Linked DNA regions of Astyanax mexicanus. The protein of the gene in region 2 interacts with the protein of the main gene of each other region in a pairwise test. Links are inferred from orthologs where the notes say so. Each region holds a gene or a part of one and is shown on either strand. Other genes may lie near its edges.

Region 1 (7,836 bases), on a different chromosome or scaffold from region 2:
ATTATAGTTTTGTCAGAGGCCCCACTTTGCTTTGTTCAGTAGCAAACCTACCAATTTCTCTTTGTGCGTAAGACCCATCACTTAGTCTACACTGTTTTTTTTTTTCATAATTTACTATTCCCAGTAACACAGTGTCAGAACACATAACACAGTTCAAAGAAATAAAGAATCAATGCAGTGCTTTTGTGTACTTTAGTGAAGAGTAACTGCATTAACAAGAGCAAGCACTATTAACACTTAAAATCCAAAACCTACGTCTGGACATCGTCCACCCATGCTGAGAGCTCATGTGGAAAGTAGTCAGTTATTCCTGTACACTTCTTGACTACAATTTTAACTGTAATTAAACTTTTGATTCAATTCCACACAGCTATTTATTTAACAGTAAGACATTAAGCAATTAGCACGATGACTAAAAATATTTTTTATTTTTAATATATATTTTTTATATAAAATTATGGACGGATTGCGGACTGGGCATGTGCACACTAACAATTCCTTTAGATTTCCAAGAATTTCCAGACAGTCTGGATGAATTTCCCATCAAACTATCAAATTCTAGCTGTAATTGAGTTAAGATTTCTCACAGAAGCAGCTGTGCTGGTGTGTGTGTGTGTGTGTGTGTGTTGGTTGGTGTAAAATTATATGGGACAGTTGCTGTACTGGGCACACAGGTGTCTCACTTTAGACCAGCTGGCAGAGCAACACATCCTGTATATGTGTGTGTGTGTGTTTGGGAGAGGAGTGTGTGTGTGGGGGGTTGCTTTTTCCACACACCCCGCTGACTCAGCCAAACATTGCACCAACACTGAAAAACAGGGAAAGGAATTTCCCCCTCAAAACTCCACTCAAACCTCACCTGTGTGTTTGTGTGTGTTTGATAATTATAGTACACTCTGTTAAAACATATCTTCATCTACTAAAGTGAATCTGAAATGTGGATCGTTAGAGAATAATATGGTAGAGATGGGTAGAGTGAGGTTCAGTAGAGTGAGGTGGAGTGAGGTAGAATATGGTAAAGACAGGTAGAGTGAGGTTCAGTAGAGTGAGGATGAGTGAGGTAGCGTGAGGTGGAGCAAGGTAGAATATTGTAGAGACGGGTAGAGTGAGGTTCAGTAGAGAGAGGTGGAGTGAGGAAGTGTGAGGTGGAGCGAGGTAGACTATGTGAAGACGGGTTGAGTGAGGTTCAGTAGAGTGAGGTGGAGTGAGGTGGAGCGAGGTAGAATATGGTAGAGACGGGTAGAGTGAGGTAGAGTGAGGTATAGTGAGGTGGAGTGAGGTAGAATATGGTAAAGACGAGTAGAGTGAGGTTCAGCAGAGTGAGGTGGAGTGAGGTAGAATATGGTAGAGTCGTATAGAGCGAGGTTCAGTAGAGTGAGGTGGAGTGAGGTAGACTGAGGTGGAGTGAGATAGAATATGGTAGAGTGGGATAGAGCGAGGTGCAATAGAGTGAGGTGGAGTGAGGTAGAGTGAGGTGGAGCGAGGTAGAATATGGTATAGTCGGATAGAGCGAGGTTCAATAGAGTGAGATGGAGTGAGGTAGAGTGAGGTGGAGCGAGGTAGAATATGGTATAGTCGGATAGAGCGAGGTTCAATAGAGTGAGGTGGAGTGAGGTAGAGTGAGGTAGAGCGAGGAACATATTTTGGAGACCAGAATCAAACCCTCAAGTCTACCAGTTTTGTTATCCACTACCCTAACCAACCAACCAACCAACCAGTCTGTGTGTGTCTGTCTGTCTATCTATACGTATGTCTGATTACTGGCCTTTCTGCCTGTTTATATCAATTAGTCTGTCTACAGTACAAAGTACAAGAGTACAAAAAACTGGATCCAAACTTATCACTGATCACATTTATCAACAACACATGTAATTTAACCAGTGTTTTCAAACCTGTGCATAGTGCTGTGGAGTAATTAGTAGTAGTAATTAGCTGAGAATATAACTGCAGTTAACTGATATTAACTGATGTACTGAAGTGAAATCTAGTTTATATTTCTGTTATCTGTATTATACATTGATGCACTGATTTCTGTAATATCAGGATGTGAAATTTAAACCAGTCAGACAGCTAACAGTAAACCAGAACTTGGACCAACCCAGATGTTGGGTAGTAAAACGCTTCCTAAACGTTAAAACTGTCAAGGTTTCTGGATGTTCTTCGACAGTTTAGTTAAGGTCTTTAAAAGTAAAAAAAAAAGTTTAAAATTTAAAAAACACTAAAAAAACACTTCTTGGTGTTTTTGTATTTTTAGTGTTGGGACTGGGAGTGGTACTTTTAAGAATTTTCCATGATGTTACTGTTTGACTAACTCGTCACTGTGTGAGAAACGTTCAATAATAATGCATATTATTATGTCCCACTTTTTTTTTAGAATGTGCTGGAACATTGTTTCTAAAACATTGCTTAAAGTTCTTATAACAGGGAAAAATAGGAAAGTTTGATAAAAGCGTTTTAAGATTGAGCGTAGTAGGCTATATTTTCCTTTCAATTGAAAATCGCAATTCAAAATGATGTTTATTAGTCCAAGACTTGGCTAAATCCCTAATATCAGAGAAAAACATCCCTTAAGTGTACTAAAAGTTCACAGTGATAAGTGCTGAATAAAAAGAATTATCTCCAGTTCAAATATTGGTAGAAAAGTAAAAAGAAGTAGTGAGTATTTTACCAAAAAAACACAGAGCAGAGTATCACACTCAGCCTGCAGTTACCTGTAGCAGATCGGCTTCTTAACAGAGCTCTCCCACCTGGCAGCCCCTCAGGGTCCTCCTCCCTTTTCCCCTCAGCCATCAGATCCTCCAGCTCCAGTTCAGCAGAGTTTAAATAAATGAAAGTGTGATAGTTCTGAATGAGACTCACAGATTTACCAAGTTAAAACACCTCACTAACTTTCTGCTACTGTCTGAACAACAACTGTCCTCACACCTTCTCTCATAGTTACTGCAGTACTGCAGAGGAGGGATCAGATCAGCTCTGCTGTGCTGCCCTGTCCAAAACAGAGTGAGTGAGTGAGTGAGAGAGAGAGAGATAGAGAGAGAGAGAGAGAGAGAAAGAGGTGAACTACAGTGAGGGGCGTTTATGACATGTCCCACCAGAGGGCACCAATACACATGAGAAATCTCGCATAACGGATACACACGCCTACTACAAGACACGCCCACTACATGACACGCCCACTATAGCTTGAAGATATCAGGCACTATATACACTATATTAATATTGGAAATAGGTGCTTTGCTTAGGCCACAAATATTCATAAAACATCTTGACTGCTAATAATTGGACTTAGGTAACACTAATGGTATGATAAACATTGAGTTAAAAATGAAATGCTATAAATACTAGTAGCAGTTTAAACTGTAGTAGTTTAAAGTACAAGACAGCGTACATATTTTTACTGCTTAACAAAATTAAGGCAAAAGCGAGACAAACACATACAGCAATATACTTTCTAAAATAAAAAGCACATCCTGCTCAAGTGATAAGACACTATTTTTAACTTGTGTTTTTAAGTTAGATTTTTTTCTGTGTCGTCTGAAGTTTTATAAATATGATGACTGTTGAAAATATTTTTTATCATTAAAAATCATGTTTTGAAAGACACAGTATTATGTGTAACCACTCAAAAGAGTTTAAATACATATTCTGACTTATATATCTGTCACATATGAACATTAACAAAAAAAGAAACAGCTTAAAGCCATTTAAATGTTATTACATTTCTGTACATTTGTATAAGAAGACTATAGTGTGTGTGTGTGTGTGTTTTACTGTAGTAAGCAAATTGCTTTAGTGAGAAAATCATTGCCATTTAACTAGCTAGTTCAGTCAGTCAGAAGAAGGCCAACAAATTACTTAAATTGGTTAAATAAATAATTAATAATAATTAATTATTAAATAATTATTAATAATAAATAAACATTTTATTAAACTGTTTTAAATTACACGCATTATTCCTCTAAATAAGAGTTTGTGTGTCTTTCTCTTGCCTGCGGTTGTTCGGCTACAGCTAGCTAACTAGCTAGATTAGCATTAGCACTAGCTGAGTGTTAGTTTAGACCAGGGGTGTCAAACTCATTTTGGCCGAGGGCCACATTGGCATATTGGCTGTCCTCCGAGGGCCAGATGTAACTTATAAATGTAATAAAATGTAACCAAATGTAATATATGTAAATGAATGTAATTACTCCTTAATGTTAAATAACTCTCAATATATTATTTATTCAATCAAATATTACAGTTGCATGGAAAAAATGTTTGCTTGTTGCTCTATTAACATAAATCCTTTTAATTTGTCATGTCATGAAATCCAAAAACTCCACCAATCAAGAACCAAACTATTCAAGTGAATAGAAATGACATCAAGTTATATTAACTTTGAAATTATTAACTGAAATAAGGCTTAATAAATATAAAATCAAAAATTGTGAGCTGTTAAGAACATAGCATTTCCTCAGATTTAGCAGTTCCTCATCCAACCACTAGTGGGAGCTGCAGCAGCAGCACCACAAGTCCGCAGTCTTTACTGAGTCAGAGCTACAGCCCAGCCACGGGCTACAGGGCTCAGCTCAGCCAGTCTGGAGCGTTTTTAAAAATTTTAAGTTCTTCTGTGTATGAAATTACGGAGCCCGGGAGGGGCCGTGGATAAAAAAAAACAATTAAATCGAGTGAACGATGTAGCAGTTCGTGCTCACGTTTTCTTTAATTCGAGTGAACGATTTGCAATTCGTGCTCACGATTTCTTTAATTCGTGCTCACGATTTCTGTAATTCGTGCGCACGATTTCTGTAATTCGAGTGAACGATTTCTGTAATTCGTGCTCACGTTTTTATGCGCAATAAGACAAGAAGCTCGGAGGGAAAGGAGCATTTTCTCTCTTGATCTGTTACAGGGGTGCAGTAATGATAATCAGTTATCTACCTTTATAACCTGCTGTTATTAATGCACTAGTGTTACAGTTAGATGTACAGTACAGTGAGCAGATTTTGCCTGGTGGTGGAATCTCTACAGCGCGTGGGGGAGAGCCGTCCGCGGCATCGGTTCCCCCGCCGCCAGACACCTGCCGCGCGCGCAGGTCTTCACGGAGCTTATTTACCAACAATATAGACAAATATAGTCAATTCCAGTCATGATTAAAGGAAACAAACATTACTAATGCAGGATAACTGTGTGTTATTAAAACCAGATCAAAACAAAGTTATAATGCAATGTGGAACTGTTTATAATTTCTTATTTTCAACAATAGTATAACGTAAAGAAGTATAATTTTATAAATATACAGCTATAAGACTTAGGTCCAAATGTACACTGTAAAAGTTAATAAAGATAATACAAAATTAATGCAAGGTGTGACAGTTGTCTATGAATGGCTCATATAAGACTATATAAAATCAAAATAGCTGGTCTAAAATACTATTAATACAATGTATTAAGATATTTAGTAAATAGGCATTTCATATAATAATTTGGATCAATTTGATAATTTATTCCAATATGTTTCCTAAAATAATTAAGTTTCTATATCTGATGAAATGTCCTGAATATCTGCTTATTCTCAAATCACAGTGTCCTGCCCAGAAACATGCCACAAGCTTCAAATAAAAAAATATAATAATTATAAACTTCTTAAATGTATATTTTCTGAATTATGTGTTTATTTATTATACAAATTATTAAAATATAGATTAAATCTATCATAAAAGTAATAATGATGTAACCAGATTTAAGAAGGTGTGCATTTCCTTGGAGGCTGGCTGAATGTTATTTAGAAATTAATAAACACATTTGCACATTGCATTATAACTTTGTTTTGATCTGGTTTTAATAACACACAGTTGTCCTGCATCAGTAAAATGTTCGTTTCCTTTAATCATGACTGGAATTGACTGTATTTGTCTACATTGTTGGTAAATAAGCTCCGTGAAGACCTGCGCGCGCGGCAGGTGTCTGGCGGCGGGGGAACCGATGCCGCGGACGGCTCTCCCCCACGCGCTGTAGAGATTCCACCACCAGGCAAAATCTGCTCACTGTACTGTACATCTAACTGTAACACTAGTGCATTAATAACAGCAGGTTATAAAGGTAGATAACTGATTATCATTACTGCACCCCTGTAACAGATCAAGAGAGAAAATGCTCCTTTCCCTCCGAGCTTCTTGTCTTATTGCGCATAAAAACGTGAGCACGAATTACAGAAATCGTTCACTCGAATTACAGAAATCGTGCGCACGAATTACAGAAATCGTGAGCACGAATTAAAGAAATCGTGAGCACGAATTGCAAATCGTTCACTCGAATTAAAGAAAACGTGAGCACGAACTGCTACATCGTTCACTCGATTTAATTATTTTTTTATCCACGGCCCCTCCCGGGCTCCGTATGAAATAAAGATTTTTGTAACCGAATAATACAGCTCTCTACAGTTCATCTTTCAGCCCAATCAGCTAACAGCAGCCGTTTAGAGCATGAGTCACTGCTGGGATTACATTATAAACAGGTCAGTTATCGCGCTGCTAACCTCAGGATGTTTATAACTACGGAATTTAGTGGACACACCACGGCTGCAAGGTTAGACTGTTGAAGGCTACTGGAGACTATTAAAGGCTATTGGAGGTTATTGAAAGGGTTATTGAGGGCAGAAATCAGTAAAGGCTGGTTAGATAAGTTATTCACGTCCTCGTACTTTGCTGCGGTGAAACTGCGACTAGCGCTGTCCCAGTGATGTTTATTAACGTCATTAAAACAGATTTTGTCAGCTATTGTCTTATAAATATTTACACAGAACTTATATCTCTCCTAAAAAGCGTTTATTTTGGTCAGTAACACTCTTCGTAACACAAAAGGCATACCGGTCTTTCGCCTTGAAGCACAGCCGTCCGTCTGCATCAACTTCTCTTTTTCTGGACATTATGGGATAAACATTTATATGTCTCAATTCCACCCGCGAAGTTACACCTTCCCTCCGGCAGGGTTTCCACATCAATGACTACACTGCCGTGTAGTGGCAGTAAGCCGTAACTTTGCGGGTAATACAATCGACAAGCATTGTGGGAAATGTATTTTTTGGTCAAAGAACGCTTCTGACTTATTTATTATAGACACTAAGATCTTACAAGCTCTCGCGGGCCACATAAAAAGACGTGGCGGGCCACATTTGGCCCGCGGGCCTTGTGTTTGACACATGTGGTTTAGACATTTAGCCAACTTGCTAACTATTTGTTAAAGTATTTTTTTTAATATATAAATTCACTGTGTTTAATAAATACACATTATAATTACAGCCTACCTGGAGAACCTACCTGCTCATTTTTTTTATTTTTGTGTAAACTTTTTCCTTTTCCTCCTCAGTTTAAATCTTTAGTTTTCACCCTCCTCAGTTTCTCCCTCCTGCTTAACTGGAGCCTAAATTATCCAGCAGCTGTGACTGGAACTATTTAATTCATTTATATGTTTCAAATGAGAAATAATTAAAAAATTAAACATAATTATTTTAACAATGTTATTTATTAACAACAAAAATGTCACACACCAAAATATGATTTATTTATTTATTTATTTTATTTTTTTGCTCTATATCTTTGGGCGAAGGAAAACAGCCAATTACTGTGTGACAGACCACAGAATACATTAGCTACACAGTAAATTTACATGTACATATAGGTACTTATATAAGCACACCAGTTCTCTTTATTTTAAACTATATTGTTATAATCTAAAAAATATTGGCCTTTAGCCCCACCATCTACACTTTTATCTTTTATCGACCCCTCTGCTGAAATCTACCAGGGCACAACTGCGCCTTTCTTCCACCAGATGTAGCCATTGATTAACAATAGA
Region 2 (7,651 bases):
GACGATTAAGTCAAAATAATCATGATGTGTATGCCAAATGAAGAAGTGATCCTTCACCAAGACCTGATGTATCCACTCAGATCAGAACTGCAAAGTCTAATAACAGGGATTTTCCCTCTATTTTCTTAATTTTTCACTTTGCAAAAGCTAATTCACAAGCAAACTTGTGGATGGTCATCCAAGTGAAAATGTAGCTGGTTAATCATGCTATATGCATATTGCTAGGACTGTCATAATAATTCAAATATCGACTTATAGTACATTGTACATATATATTGGTGTATACGCTTGTATATAAATTATTGTGGGGATCCTAGCTAATCAACCTCGTGATAATATTTTGGAGCAATCTCTATTTACATAATTGACTTAAGTCAAGTGAAATTTCCATGGGAAGCATAAAACAGAATAATACATGAATTACTATTCTACTAGCTACAGGGTAAGCTAAGTCTAAGTTTGTATTTTGCATGTCAGAAGTTGTAAGCATAAACCAGCTGTTTAGTTCTGCACTCTGAATCTACAAGTACTTATATTTACTGTTAAACTATACCTGAACCCTTGTGAAAAATCACAAGTGTTGTGGATAAAATCCTGAGCCTGCGGCTGGTCTTCTTTACAAGAAGGTTAGCTACGTTTCTGACGTAAGATTGTAAAAAAGTGAAACAGACTGAAGCTCTGTGCTCCCTGGACAGTAGAATCTCTATTTCAGATAGTGCCGAGCACCCCATAAACCCTGCAGCTCTGCAACCTGAGAGCAGACTCTGGTAACAGAGAACAGACTCTGCTATACATCAGTTTCCTTTGTTTTTGCTTGTTCATTTGGAAGTAATTTGTTACTTGTTTCAAGCCATTTTAGCCTAACATCTTAATAATTAAAAAATCATAATAATACAACATATAGCTACTATAAACAAAATTAATATAGGTATCTGTAACTGGAGTTTTTACTAGTAAAAATAAACTACATACAAGAGAGAATAACACACCATGTACATCAATGGCAACATCTATTATAGTTATGTCATCCTGGTAATATATACTTACTCTCCTAACACCTCTAATACACTAACTACTTCTAACCCCATTTCCTTCTTCCCCTCCTTCACTTCTCTATCCCTTTATTTCCCTTCGACCTCCTTTAAGCCCTACCTAAAAATGGGTTATCTAAATTCCTATTACTTTGTACTTCATTATTGTAAGTCGCTTTGGACAAAAGCGTCTGCCAAATGAAATGTAATGTAATGTAATATCATTAGTCAGAATATCTGAACTCTGAAATTCTGAATTATGAATTTCTACTATCAAAACTAAGATAGTTTGTGGTTTGGTCATTCCCTAGTAAGTTAACTATATAGGAAATATTACATAGTAAATAGTAAATGACTATTTACTATTTACTAGAGGCTGTACATGTGACATAAGTATGTAAAGATGCATGACGTGGCCAGAAGAACTGCCTCAAAAAGCGACCCGACACACGTTTTTAGAATGAATATATTAGGCTTAGCAGGGATGGTCATTGCAGCCCACCGGTACCATTAAACACAATACTTTATCCCTTCTCCACTCAGAAATGTTTCTGTGTTCAATTTAGAAACTAAATACTACGAAGTTCCAGTTTCATATATTTACATCATACTAAAATGCATACATTTTCAATGGGCACATATGAAGCTGAAACAGGGGGCCTAGTGCATCCCAAGTTTATTTTAAGTACTTTTCCACTTTTACTTAAAGAGTAAAATGTTTGAGTTGATACTTCAACTTGTACAGAAATATTTTAAACACTAGTATCTATATTTCTACCTACAGAGTAATGCGTGTGGGGTAAATATCATATACACTCATGTAAGTGGAAAGCCATAACTCCCTCGTTCACACTGTTCATATGTCACTAGAACATTTTAAGAGATAACTAAAAAAACTAAAAAAAATGCATTCTATTATATCAAAGTCCTTGCTTTTTTAATTGTGTCAAACATGACTTTGCATTTTTGTGCCCAAAAGACTATTATTGCCTCCTTGTATGAGTAATGAGTGTGAATATTGTTCACACCTTTTTTTCTGTAGTGCACTAGGAAGTGAATCTTGTTAATTTGGAAGTCGCTCCTTATTGGCTTAACACTGATCACATGATTGACCACGTGGTCCTATCGAGAAAAAAATGGTATTAATGGTGGTCGTTTACAATACTATTTTTTTAGGTTAGTTAAGGTTAATTATTTTATAAATTTCATATATACTCATGTGCTCAATCAGGAATTGTGTAAAATAAAAAATAAACGAATTATAAAAGATATAAAAGAGAAGCTGGAACTTTTTAAACAGCATCGTGTGAGTCATCCATCAGTTGGGCTTCAAACTGCAGAGCCTGGATTAACTGGAAAATGCGCTCCTATAAACACAAAGCCACAGTTTCCAGTTAAAGTCTTTAACCCCAGTCCAGTTCAGCGCTCTGTAAAGCCTGTGTGTGGGGGGTTTTGTTAAGCCGGGCGCTATTCTGAATGGAAATCCCGGACGCTGCGCTGCTCTGCTCTGCGCGGGTCTCAGGCGGGGAGCTGTCGACAGCCGGGCGGCTCTATAATAATAACAGCAGCAGCAGCCCGTCCGGACAGCGCCGGACCGGACCCGGGGTTATAATCAGCTCCCTGCTGAGAGAAACAGGAGGAAAAAACGGACTTTTCTACTTACTTTTACCGGACTGACTGACCGCCGGGGCTGGAGAGGTTCCTTACTGTCTGTTCTCACCTGGCTCAGGTAAAGCAGCCTGCGCTGAACCCACTTCCGATTCACCTGACAAACCTGTTGCTGCCTAAACTCATGGTCTTAAAGGACCCGACTCACATTAAACTGCCCAAAAGCACAACTGTAGACAGGTGTTTTTCGCACACCGTAGGGCGAGAGGGTTCAGAGGGGTGTGAGAAAGGACTGTTTAGACTGTAGTTAAACACCGCGCTGTCAAACTTCAAGCACTTTAGATCAGGCGATCATTTGGACACATGAGGGAGAATGACGCTGAGTGAAACTCTCTCAGGACCCCTAGAGCTGTTTTTTTCCCCTTTTAATATTTTCTCTTTCTCTTTATGATCGTTGTTTGTTTCTAATTGTATTATAGTTGTAATAATATGATAATTATAATGATAATCATAAGATGACATTTTATACCAAATATGTGTTTACACTGATCTACATATCTACTGTTTTTTATTTCGCTGTTTGTTTGTTTTATTTATTTATTATAACTATGTGAAGAATGTTCTACAGTTGTTTCTGTTTGACATTGTTTGACAGATTTAAGTGCATAAAAGTAAGTCAATAGAAATAGTCTAAACAAAAATACAAATAGTATGTTTCTGTTCGAATCCCATTTTTAAATTCTTTTAAAATATTATATACATAAGATGAAATTGTATGCCAAATATTTGTTTAAATTGATCTACAAAACTATAAATACACTTTATTTATTAGAAATTTAGAAATGTTATAATTTTATTTTAGATTTAAAGCTTTTAAATTTTATTTGAATTCCAGTGTTAGCTTGTTTACTTTTTGTTGCTGTTTGTTTGTTTTATTTTAGTTTATTTTTATTCAATATACAATATATAAACATGTTCTAGAGTTGTTTCTGTTTGACTTTGTTTGATTGTTTAAGTGCATATGACTCAATAAAAAAGGGTAAATAAATACAAATTGTATGTATTTGTTCAGTCTCATTTTTAAAATGCTTTAAAAAGTTATACTATTGTAGTAGCATATAGAGTTATAGTAGTTTAGTAGTTTTTGGATGGCTGAGGTGTTTAAGTCTGTTTTCCTGGCTAACCCTAATTTACAAGTTATGTTCACAAGGATGTTCTATGTGTTCATATCATAGACTGTGGGTATAAGAGGCTGTCTATAGTTCAATAGCTACTGTAAAGGTGTGTTTAGTGTATGTCAGTTATGAACAGTTACAAAGTAAATATAATTTGTTACGCAAATCTATATTTTTTTTTTTTTCAATTTTGCTTGATTCTATCCACAAGATTTCAGAGTCTCATATCAACACCTTCCTAAAAGAATCAACCATTTTTTTTCAGTGGCAATATGGCAGTTGTTTTATTTTATTTAAAATAAGTAATGGATTAAGAGGATAATTTTTTATACAGTCAAGCAGTAGAACCGACCAGAAAAAAATCCTGATTCAAATTGTTTTAACAGTTGCAAATTGTAGATCATCTTCAAACTAGCTTTATGGACTTATGCTGCCTTCAGGTCGTGTCAGTAATATTGTATTTACGAGATGAGAGCACATGAATTTAATTTGAGATAAGCCCTGAATTTCCCAGTTGGGGGCATGTCAGTAACAAGAAGTCAGAATCAGAATCAGAATCACTTTATTTCGCCAAGTATGTTACATATACAAGGAATTTGTCTTGGTGAGAGCAACACGTGTATGACACATAACAAATACAGAGACTATAGACAAACATCACACTACAAAAGAATGAACAATAAACAATAAATAGAATAAGAATAGAGTTAAAAGTTCTACAGAAATAAAGAGCACTGAAGAGTGATAGGAGCTAAGAGCTAAATAAAATAAAATAAAATCTGTACTGTACACATATGAATATATTATTAGAACCGAATGTTTCTGAGGTAGGTTTATCTTAAATATTGCTTAGGAAGTTACAGAGGAACATCTGTATAGCTGTGCAAATAAGCAAAGTGCAAGTGAGCAGATTGTAAATCCAGTCAGTTGTGAATACAGTTCAGTGAGTGAGATGTTTGGAGACTCAGATGTGTCCACTGTGGTTAAGGAGTGCTACAGCTCTGGGAAAGAAGCTGTTTGCGTGTCGTGTTGTGCTGGTTTTGATTGTTCGAAGCCTTCTACCAGAGGGGAGAGTCTGGAAGATGTGATGTCCAGGATGTGAGGGGGCAGTCATGATTTTGCCAGCACGCTTCCTCATCCTGCTGGTGTAGATTTCCTGAAGTGTTGGCAGGTTACATCCAATGATCCTCTCTGCTGACTTGATGACGCGCTGGAGTTTTGCTCGTTCATGTGAGGTGGAGGAGCCAAACCAGATGATTATGGAAGAGGTGAGGATGGACTCGATGATCGCTGTGTAGAACTGGACCATCAAGGTCTGTGGGAGGTCAAATTTTCTTAGCTGTCTCAAGAAGAACAATCTTTGTTGAGCTTTCTTGATGATGGAGATGATGTTCCTTTCCCACTTCAGGTTCCTAGATATGGTGGTGCCCAGGAACTTGAGTGACTCCACAGTGGACACTGCTGAGCCATTGATGTAGAGAGGGGGTACGGGTGGTGGGTTGCGTCGGAAATCCACCACCATCTCTACAGTCTTTTCTGTGTTAAGCAGCAGGTGGAAGTTGCTGCACCAAGACACCAGCTGCTGGACCTCCTTTCTGTAAGCAGACTCATCACCGTTGGTTATGAGACCTACTAGAGTGGAATCATCTGCAAACTTCAGAAGCTTTACAGCTGGTTCCTTGGAGACACAGTCGTTGGTGTAGAGGCTGAAGAGAAGAGGTGAGAGAACACACCCTTGTGGAACTCCAGTGCTGAGTGTTCGTAGGTCTGAAGTTTGTTTCCCCATCCGCACCTGCTGTTTTCTGTCTGTCAGGAAATCCACAATCCACTGACACATGGAGTCTGGCACTGACAGCTGGGACAGTTTGCTTTGAAGTATCTGCGGCACAACAGTGTTGAAAGCCGAGCTAAAGTCCACAAACAGAACCCTGGCGTAGGTTCCAGGGCTGTCCAGATGCTGCAGGATAAAGTGCAGGGTCAAGTTGACTACGTCCTCGACAGACCTGTTTGCTCTGTATGCAAACTGCAGCGGGTCCAGCAGAGGTTCTGTTATGGTCTTAAGGTGGGCTAGGACCAGGTGTTCAAAGACCTTCATGACTACAGAGGTCAGGGCAACCGGTCTGTAATCATTAAGTCCAGTGATGTTGGGTTTTTTGGGGACTGGAATGATGGTGGAGGTCTTGAAACAGGCTGGAACGCAGCAGAGCTCCAGTGATTTGTTAAAGATACTGGTGAAAATTGGTGCTAGTTGTTCACAGCAGTGTTTTAGGGTGGATGGAGAGATTGAGTCAGGCCCCGGAGCTTTCCTCACCTTCTGCCTGCTGAAGAGCCTGTGGACGTCCTGCACATTGATGGAGAGACGAGCAGGGGGTGGAGGTGAGAGAGTCAGCGTGGGGGAGGAGGGGAGGTGATGATGATGGGGGGAGGCAGTTTGCTGAGTGACTTTTGGGAGTTCAAATCTGCAGTAGAACTCATTCAGGTCGTTGGTGAGCTGTCGGTCGTTCAGGAGGAGGGGGGTCTTTCTCACTTTGTACTCAGTGAGAAGTTGAAGACTGTTCCAGGCTGAAGATGGGTCATTGGCAGTGATATGGCTATTCAGCTGCTTCGAGTACACTCTCTTAGCTGCCTTGATCCCTTTCTCCAGTTTGTACTTGGCCTTTTTGTAGACAGTTCTGTCTCCACTCCTGAAAGCTGCCTCTTTCTCCCTCCGAAGCTGTTTGAGCTCAGCAGTAAACCAGGGTTTGCTGTTGCTGTATTTAACACGTGATCTGGTTGAAATACAGCTGTCTTCACAGAAACTTATGTATGACGTCAGTGTCTGTGTATTCGTCCAGTCCGTCTGTCGCCTCCTCAAATACAGCCCAGTCTGTGGATTCGAAGCAGCCCCGCAGCTTCTCAATGTCTCCACTGGTCCACCTCTTCACTGTTGTAACGACCGGCTTGTTGGATTTGAGTTTCTGCCGGTACGTGGGAATGAGGTGAACGAGGCTGTGATCGGAAAGTCCGAGAGCTGCGCGCGTGACAGCGCGATAGGCGTTTTTAATGCTTGTATAGCATTTATCCAGTGTGTTGCGTTCTCGTGTAGCGCATACGATGTGTTGTCTGTATTTGGGCATCTCCTTAGTGAGGTTTGCGCTGTTAAAATATTTAGTCAAAGTCAATGAATGAATCACATTTATTTAAATTGATAAATAAATTCTTTTTTTTTTTCTAGTGTGGATGTACTTTTTTTTTCAGATCTTTTCTTGACCTCCACAGTTCCCCTGAACTGCTATTTTCTTAATAACATTCTGCTCATATTTATATTAGACATGATGGACTGATTCAAAACATTGGAAATTCTTATTGTACCATTAGCAGGAATAATTTAATAAATAGATTAGTGCTGTCAATGTTGACACATTCAATTAATCTGGAAAAATTAACACTTTAATTTATGTAGCATCAGCTAACATTCCTGCAAAGCAACATTTATTAATGAAAACAGACATGGAGATTGCACCAAAATGCACCTTTTAGCATGTTCGGTGCAGTTACACATTCTCTCCAAAAAGGAGAATCTTTATTGTTTGATGCCCGTTTTCTCAGATTCAGTTATCAATATGAAATACGACAAACTCAGTAAACAAAGAAGATCCAGGTCCTCAAATGCCCCAGACTTGTTGAACCAAGGAAAAGGGCAATAGAGTCCAATTCCCACTGTGTTGTATTAATATTCAGGATAATCAGCACATTGTTCGTTGCATTAGAAGGTCTTTGTGTTCAAATATCATGACCTAAATAAGACATTTCTAAATATAAAAATATTTTTTTCAGCCTGTACGTCCTGATGATCTC

What was found.
Region 1: the proteins of sh3yl1 (region 2) and sh3d19 interact in binary tests that used the Homo sapiens proteins (3 or more experiments, as listed by UniProt). The link is inferred for Astyanax mexicanus from reciprocal best matches to the Homo sapiens genes SH3YL1 and SH3D19.

What each region holds. Positions count from the first base shown.
Region 1 is NC_064432.1:20,714,231-20,722,066, reverse strand, and holds the start of sh3d19 (SH3 domain-containing protein 19), read right to left. Parts: upstream 3,001-7,836; 5' UTR 2,791-3,000; coding exon 2,712-2,790; intron 1-2,711. UniProt on the Homo sapiens protein: May play a role in regulating A disintegrin and metalloproteases (ADAMs) in the signaling of EGFR-ligand shedding. May be involved in suppression of Ras-induced cellular transformation and Ras-mediated activation of ELK1.
Region 2 is NC_064421.1:28,973,311-28,980,961, forward strand, and holds the start of sh3yl1 (SH3 domain-containing YSC84-like protein 1), read right to left. Parts: upstream 3,003-7,651; 5' UTR 2,696-3,002; coding exon 2,695-2,695; intron 1-2,694.